Linked DNA regions of Nothobranchius furzeri. The protein of the gene in region 2 purifies or fractionates together with the protein of the main gene of each other region. This does not show direct contact. Links are inferred from orthologs where the notes say so. Each region holds a gene or a part of one and is shown on either strand. Other genes may lie near its edges. The genes, in order: bin3 and dnmbp.

Region 1 (3,809 bases), on a different chromosome or scaffold from region 2:
TGTGGGTCGTCACCGTGGGGTTAATCACGTTAGGACCACAGGGCGGGAGACAGACGGGCTGAGATAAACACACACAGCTGGAAGGGTGTGTCTGCAGCTCCGACAGCCTCCGATCTCCTGCAGAGGAGCACCAACCTGTGCACGGATGAGAGCCTCAAAGCTGGGCTGGAAGTAGTCGATGCGGCTCTGGTAGAATTTGGGCATCTCGTCCAGCAGCTGCTGGTTCTTGGCCTCAAAATCCTCCTTGACCGGTCGGAGCTCTTCTTTAGCCTGGAGCGTGGAAGAAAAGAAAAAAAAAAGCAGAGGTCAGCGCCTGACGGTTCTAAATTTAGAGCCGAGAACACCGATGTGTGTCGTTTAAATCACACGACACATTTTTCTACACAGGTTCAAAATACCTACCGAGTGATAACGGTTAGTCAAAGCTACAATCATTCCTTGATGCATCTTTACTGATCTTTTTCTTATTGTTATGAAAGACATTTGCCTTATTCCCACAGAGATGCAGCGCAAAAAAAGGCTGTAATCACGACCAGAGTGAGGAGGAGTGGGTGATGTGGGCAGACTTGGCTGTGAGTGGACTCCAGCACCACGGATCTCCGTGTGAATGTATTAGTGGGTAGTCTGCTGTAGGCATGGAGGTATGGAAGGCACAAACAATTATTGTGAAAGGGTGAGAATTTTTATTAAGGGGAAGGAGGGGAGCTGCTATAAGGAAACCGTAACATACTGTTTATTTACTCCCCTCCTCACCTCTCCGTCTATTTTCCTCCCAGATGGAAGTTAAAACAGTAAAAGAAACGTTGTATAAGGATCATTTCTTTAAGTGCACATGGACTCAAAGGGCAGGCATGTAGGGCCTCTTCAAGGCTTTGTTCCCCTGACAGTGCTTTTCTCAGTGTGTGTGGGAGGCTCACCGTGTGAGGATGTGTTAAAGGCAATAGCATAGGCAACCGTGCAACACTATCTGTGAATGTGTGTACTTCGGTAGTGGCCTCGTGGTGTGTGTGTGTGTGTGTCTACAATTCTCAATTATGTGCCTGTAGATGTGCAGCAGTGCCTTTTTGAAACGGCACTACTCGAGAGCCTGCTAGCTTGCGTGGGTGAAGGAGTGCACATGTACTGTGTGCATGTGCTCAACGACTTTATTCACATCCAGTCAGCATTTGTGTCTTTTCCCCGCTCATCTCGCTCTGTTCACGGCACACGTACGAGCAGGTGAACCCCGCTCCCCTCGAGTCACAGTCAGGATTCTAGCAGCACCTGATGGAGCTTAACCATGGCGGGTCCGTTTTTTTCTTTCTCTTCGTATTTCTCCACTTTGGACTGTAAGCGTTTGTAGTCCTGCAGCGCCTGCTCCCGACGCTTCACCGCCATGTTCAGGCTCGGGAAGACGCCGCTGTACCTGAAACGAGCCAGCAAACAGAAACGTCAAGCGACGGCAGACTTCGCCAGCAGGAAAATAAAAGAAACTTTGTGAAATATTCAGATTCTGCATTCCATCACATCTCCATAAACGTCATCATGATTTAATGAAATTGCTCTCAACATCTTACTGTAGAGGTGCTCTCAGAGGACAGCTCTGCATTAAGCTTCCTCTCATCTATTATCTAATTACTATAGTTCAGAGTGGCATGAAACAATTCACTTTGTGACAATTATCATATTCCAAATGAAAATATATTCTTGCAACAAGAATCCTGGTCTTCTGCACTAAAAATAGGAAAGCATTCATCTGTAACTTAGCAACAGGAGTCGGAGCTTCATCCTGGGACTTGTTGCGCTGGGTTTATGGTTGACGGGGAGCAGGAATACTGTATGCAAATATATACATATCACATCTAATATGATTTTATGAAAAACAGACATGTCTAGTAAAAAGAGTAAAGGAGCCATTAAAACAGTCGTGCTATTTCATCAAGAGTCTGGATGTGAAACTTCTTTGGGTGAAATGGCCGCCAGCATCACCAAAACTCGGGCAAAATCCATCTTTGGTTCTTTTTTTTTAAAACCAAAACAGAAACCAGTAAAAGTGTTTTCAAAGGCAGACTCCAGAATTATTCACACAGGTGCCTACTACATATGAGTCAGGAGTAAAAACAGTCGTAATGAGGAATTAGATCAACCGTTTTTCAATGAGTCATTTAAAGCGTTTTATCAGCTGCGTAGGCTCGCTACTAGAATAGCCTTCTTTTTCTCTACCCATAGCGTTATTAGCCACAAAATGTGTGGGCTACATAGTTTACGTTCCTCTCCACGCCATCTCTTGCCCTGCTGTGTGTGTGCAGCAGTTGCAGGAACCACTAAGAACTCGTGAACTGGTTGTGAAATCCTAAACAACAACTCTGTCTGAAAAGAACACCTACAGCAGGCTGATGGGGCAAGGGGGAGAGCTGAGGCTTGCTTTCAGACAAACAGGGATCATTTCCAGCAGGAAGTTGAGCAAGGAGTGGTCTTGTAGTGTATAAGTGACATCACATAGCTCAACAGGGCCCAGCCCCACGGCCCACGCTTTACCGCTATTTATAAAATCCCACTTTGGCCCAGTTTACGGCAGGGGTGGATGCCGATCCTCAAGTCTACTATCTGCTCCAGTGTACGCATACTTCTAAGTGCCAAGGGATTATGTAACTACCCTCTAGGCATGACCGCTCTCCAACATATTTGTTCTGTGCTGACAATGCAGCGGCAAACCAGCTTTTACACGACACAATGGATCATAGATAAATCACTGGTGTCGTTCACCTGCTGCTTTCTTTCTCACGACAAGCCCCAATGCATGTTTACACCTGATAATTAGGCAAGACCGCTGGTGGTAGTAACTTTATTTAAACACAAAGACTTTACATCCCAACCATCACAGTTGAGATGAAGCAGGAAACAGTAGTCTATTAATTAACCCATTCCATTCTCGTTTCTCCATCTCAGAGACTCGGCTGTTTCCGGAGTCATGTGTGAAAGCATGCAACATTCCTGGGACAGTTCGCTCTAAAACCACCCCGACCTGGGACTTTTCCCTAGACTTCCTGATCCTGGCTGAACTACTGGTCAGGTTTGGTTTTGTGTGAGGGTTTCCTGGTTAGACGCTGAATGCGGGCTGAGGGCACACTGCTGTCCATGTGACAGGTCAGGGTGCGGTGAAGTGGCTGGATGGAAATAGCGTATGAATCCATGTGTTTTTTATGAGAAGTTGCCAATCCACAGACGGGCCAGTCTGAGCTGTCAGCCAAGCCCAAGTCTGGTCCAGACTTGGGCTTGGCTGAGGCTGGCCGTCCCCTCTCGACTCTCACTATCACATAACTCACTACTGTAAAGAATGCACGAGAGCTCTAAAAATAGGAGAATGTGTTTACGAGTGCATTGCTGCCTTTTCGTTTGAGATAAAAACTAAAAGTTGCATCACCTGGTAAAGCTCTCATTCACTCGGGTTTTCAGTGTGGTCTCTTGGATAAATGAATGCCCTGTGAGTCAATCTCTGTGTGGGGAAAAAGCTCTCGCGCTCCTGTTTCCGGAAGCAGAAGTTAGTCGGAGTAGTAGGAGGCGGGAAACACTCATTATTATCCATGACACACAAACATCTGATCTCTGATTGGCTAACAGCAGAGCAACTCTTCCACTGCCTCTGTTCGCGCTTTATTGATTACAAAAATGCAACGCTGATGTTTTATCTCCACAAGACTGAATTTGTTCTGCCGTGTTGTGGAGTTGTTACTGCTAATGGTTAGCTTCTACTAGCCGATCCACGATCCGCTCTCCCCTGGTAAGAAAAAAATCAACACAGCCTTTAGCTGTCGCAAACAAACTTATGG
Region 2 (4,479 bases):
GCATGATATAAAACATGTCCCAAAATACACACTATTTATACAAAATGTGATGACATTAAATCAAATTTTGTAGGATTTAACTTTTTCAAAACAGAATTCACTGCACACAAATGACCTTTGTTGTTTAAACTATTTATGGAATACCATGTAAGCTTGATCAACAACTAAACCTCAGCTGTTTAACGAAATATGTTATAAGCACTAAAATTACAAAGTAATTTTTTTTCTTTGCTAAATTAAAATAAAATGCATTGAACTGCATCACTACTGGACTAAACAGTTGTTTCCCTTGACCCTACCACTGTCCTAATAGGTGTGACCCCGCAAGGAAAGTTGACCATTGAGCAGGGTTGATGGTTTATCCCTTGGGTCCATGTGGTAGGGTTGAGGAGTGAGCACCACCTCACCCCTGCCATGTGGACCTCAAGGGATAAACCATCAACCCTGCTCAATGGTCAACTTTCCTCACGGGGTCACACCCATTAGGACAGTGGGAGGGTTAAATTAGTTTACTTAGCTGTTTTAACATGTTGTTAATTGGTTGATGCATACATGTAAATTAACCAAATTGAGTTTGTTCAATTTTTGTACACACAAACAGCAAATACACAGAATTAAGTATTTTCTAACACACAGGCAACGCACAAAAGTATTGCAAAGCAAATGCAAAAGGGCTAGTCAGAGGGCTATGTGACATGAATACGTAGACGCTCCATTGGGTGCTGGAGAGCTTAACCACAGACATATACGTAGACGCCCTGTAGACTGGCACTGCCTGTTGAAGCTGTCGTAGTGTCATCTTGGATGAGTCTCTATTTGCCCCCAGTGCATTTATTTCTACGGAGGAAGGTGCTGCTTACCCAACTAAAGAAACACATTTTATAATGCTTTTTCACAAAATCAGATATATAGTATGGCATAATTAAAACAGAAATCTAATAAATGAAAATAAATTAATTAAAACATAAAATCCTAGCAGGTAGGCTAGAAAAGTCTAAAGTAATCCAATCCAACGTGATCTGTTTTCCATAGTGCAAGGTTACGCTCTCCATTGCCCCAAAGGGACGTCTATGTATTCATGTCTATGAGCGTAACATCGTCACCGCCATGTTGGATGGATTCCTCACTCTCCAAACCTGGAGGCAAAGTTGAGTGAGCAACTCTGCCTGGTTTTTGTGCAGCCTAAAGCTGCAACAGGCGCACTATTGAAAACAGATCACGTGGGACTTCTATTGACTTTTCAAACCTACCTGTTGGGATCTTTTTTTTTTTTATTATTTTATTTTATTTAATAATATTTATATTTTAACTACCATGCTATAGCTGATTGTGTAAATAAGCATAAATAAAATTTGTTATTTTTAGTTGGATAAACTTTCCTGGCGCCATCTGTCCCTCTGACCACCCTCATCAGGCAAGGCGGGTTAACTGTCTTGCCCAAGGACACAACAGCAGCATTCTCTGATCAGAGCCAGGATCAAATCTGCAACCTTCTGATTACTGGACAACCTGCTCTCCCTCTTGAGCTGCTGTCCCCATCCAACATGGCAGCCCGTTGCTATGCCAGTTCCAATAGGCAGCGCCAGTCCATGGGGTGTCTATGTACATGGGAGCCATGACAGTTTCCATCTCAAAACCTGTTTCAGTATCAACATAAAGTAATTACCTAGAAATGAATTATGATATAAAACCATAAACATAGCAGGAATGACATTTTCAGCTGAATGTTGTAAAACTGACAGCAGTTAAATGGCTTATTAAAGAAACTGCTATAAGATGTTATAGATTAAAATGATTTAAAGCCTAAAATCAGATCCAGTCTCCAAAACTTAAGGACAGTTCATGCAACGCTGTTTGAAGAACCTTAAAACTGCCACCATGCGTACGTCTAATTACAAGACAAGATATCACCAGTAGAGGTTAAATGTAGCACTCCACATGCATCCAGTGGTCATATCAAGCAGGAATATCTTAGCATTTCTGAAGAAGTTGTGCTGTAATGGAAAACTGATGTTAAATCAGCTTTGGATGTGGGTGTAATTACACAAGACATACATTCAGGTTATCAGTAGGGTTCAAATGGATTCAATTCAAAAAGAGATTGCTGCCCAGTCTGATGTAAACACCATTTATCCAGAGACTGGTCAGGAGGTCATCTGCACTTGAAGTTTATCCCATAAATAATGTTAATGTAAGACTGGAATAATGCCCCCAAGTGTTTGTAGTGGACAAGAATAATCCCTGTGTCCATTGGAGGACACAAATCTATTTACACCACCTCATTATGTGGAGCTGCAATGTCATCAGTTTACTCTCAGAAGCACAAAAAACATCCTAAAACTGAGATTTTAATTAAGGCAGGTTGGTTGGAGGTTGTGTGTGTGTGTGTGTGTGTGTGTGTGTGTGTGTGTGTGTGTGTGTGTGTGTGTGTGTGTGTGTGTGTGTGTGTGTGTGTCTACATGGTGGAACAACTGACAGCAGAAGCCACAGCTGACACACAGCAGGGAGGATTACTCGGTCTGCAGCACTCTAACCCATTCACCTCAGTAATGTATTCACACTGAGGACCCTGAAGAATAAATAACGTCTAAAGTAGAAAACAACTGCCTGCAACAGCGTTGAGATCATAAATCAGCCCAACAGAAAGCAAAGCGCAACGTGACCGCACGCAGGTCCTCCAGACAGAAGCTGGGAATATTTGTGTTGTAAACTGGTTATATTCACGCAGATGAGCATTTTACATCAAATTATGGGATTTTTATTAAGCAAGAATGGTGAAAAAGTCAAAGGATTTGGTTTTCTTGCGTTTTTCTTACCTGTAAAGTATGTTGAAAATCTGAGTTCGTCAGACTAGATATCCAACTTCTTCAACCTGGTGAAGTGTTGGTGGCGTTTCCTTTTTCAGCGACACAACTTTTAGGTAGCTACGCGTCCCGAGGGTTCCCAGATGCCCTGCGGGATCTTAAAGGCGGCATGTTGACGCTAGGAAGTGCCACGACTGTCCCGGGTGCATGGAGGTCTCTGTACGCTCAGCTGTCATCACGGTAGACATGGGAGAAGCCGCGCTGGGCTGTTCTGCGTCTCTTCGTGCCTTCATAGAACAACGCCTCCCACTTTTCCCACTGGGGGGTGTCCCTGCAGATGCCTGACTTAAATCACATGAAAACTGATTCCAAACGAACCAAATTTATGAAAAAAGGAAAAAGCGCGTGTGTTTGTATTGTTATGTTCCTGAATAAAACAGGAATTATTTTTGTTTCTAAATTAAAGTAAAGGTTTCAGTGGGACTGTCACTGATAACTCTTTTGGGGGTCTGTCAAAAATTGTCTTCAGATGTTTTCGTTCTCCTTTCACTCATTTTTTACGACACTTGTACACGACTGACGAAATTGGAAAAGATGACAGATAGCAGATGGACCATATCTGGAGGTCATAGTAAAAAGGTAAGAATCTATTAAATATCTTAAACAAGGCCTGTTAAAGGCAGCTTGTCAAGTTTTAAGCAATTAAATTAAATTATCAGATCAATTATTGTTTTTCAAATTGTTACTTTTGGTGTTTAGATTCACATCAAGAAATTTAATTGAATCGTGTCTGTGTAACTGGATGTTAGTGACAGTGAGGTTAAAAAGCAAAAACCCATTAAGACCTATTTGTGTCTGAACGGTTCATAGGTCAGATTTTTGGAGCTTAACAAACAAAAATGAACATGTCTGAAAACAGACAGAAATTTCATTGAAAAGCCACCAATGTTCAAAGAAAACTTTTAAAGGTTTTCAAAATAAAACCTGCAAATTATTTTCTCAAAAACAATAAACTAGCACATGATTTGTTGAGATTTTTGTACATTTCTTTAGTTACACATAATTGTCAAAGTCTTCGGTATATATGTAGAGAGAGAGAGAGAGAGAGAGAGAGAGAGAGAGAGAGAGAGAGAGAGAGAGAGAGAGAGAGAGAGAGAGAGAGAGAGAGAGAGAGAGAGAGAGAGAGAGATGAGATGAGATGAGATGAGATGAGATGAGATGAGATGAGATGGATGGATGGATGGATGATGATAGATAGATAGATAGATAGATAGATAGATAGATAGATAGATAGATAGATAGATAGATAGATAGATAGATAGATAGATAGATAGTTTATCATCATTACACTGAAAATGAACTTGTGTTTTAATACCATACTATACTGTTAATAATAAAATTGTATTCCTAATAATTCACAATGAATGTTTACTAATTTCTTACACATATTTTAATTTTAGGTGTTTTAAACTTCTGTTATCAATATTCTTATTTTTCAAGAAGGAAATTACTTAAGGATTGTGGAAACTGTAGCAGAATTAAACCAAAGGGAACCTGAAAATATTCTTTGTTAGCTCATTTTTTTGGGACTGCCCGCTCCAGCCACACCAGACGATGTTCCCAGGAGTTACAAGAAGTAACATCATCTATGTTTGGAACATGTGACGGTAATGTT

The links.
Region 1: the proteins of dnmbp (region 2) and bin3 purify together in Homo sapiens (co-immunoprecipitation; 5 studies listed by BioGRID and IntAct, counting the BioPlex papers as one, with this or other methods). This does not show direct contact. The link is inferred for Nothobranchius furzeri from reciprocal best matches to the Homo sapiens genes DNMBP and BIN3.

The regions. Positions count from the first base shown.
Region 1 is NC_091757.1:40,408,381-40,412,189, forward strand, and holds part of bin3 (bridging integrator 3), read right to left. Parts: intron 1,406-3,809; coding exon 1,264-1,405; intron 271-1,263; coding exon 136-270; intron 1-135. UniProt on the Homo sapiens protein: Involved in cytokinesis and septation where it has a role in the localization of F-actin.
Region 2 is NC_091756.1:38,440,904-38,445,382, forward strand, and holds the start of dnmbp (dynamin-binding protein), read right to left. Parts: upstream 3,023-4,479; 5' UTR 2,817-3,022; intron 1-2,816. UniProt on the Homo sapiens protein: Plays a critical role as a guanine nucleotide exchange factor (GEF) for CDC42 in several intracellular processes associated with the actin and microtubule cytoskeleton.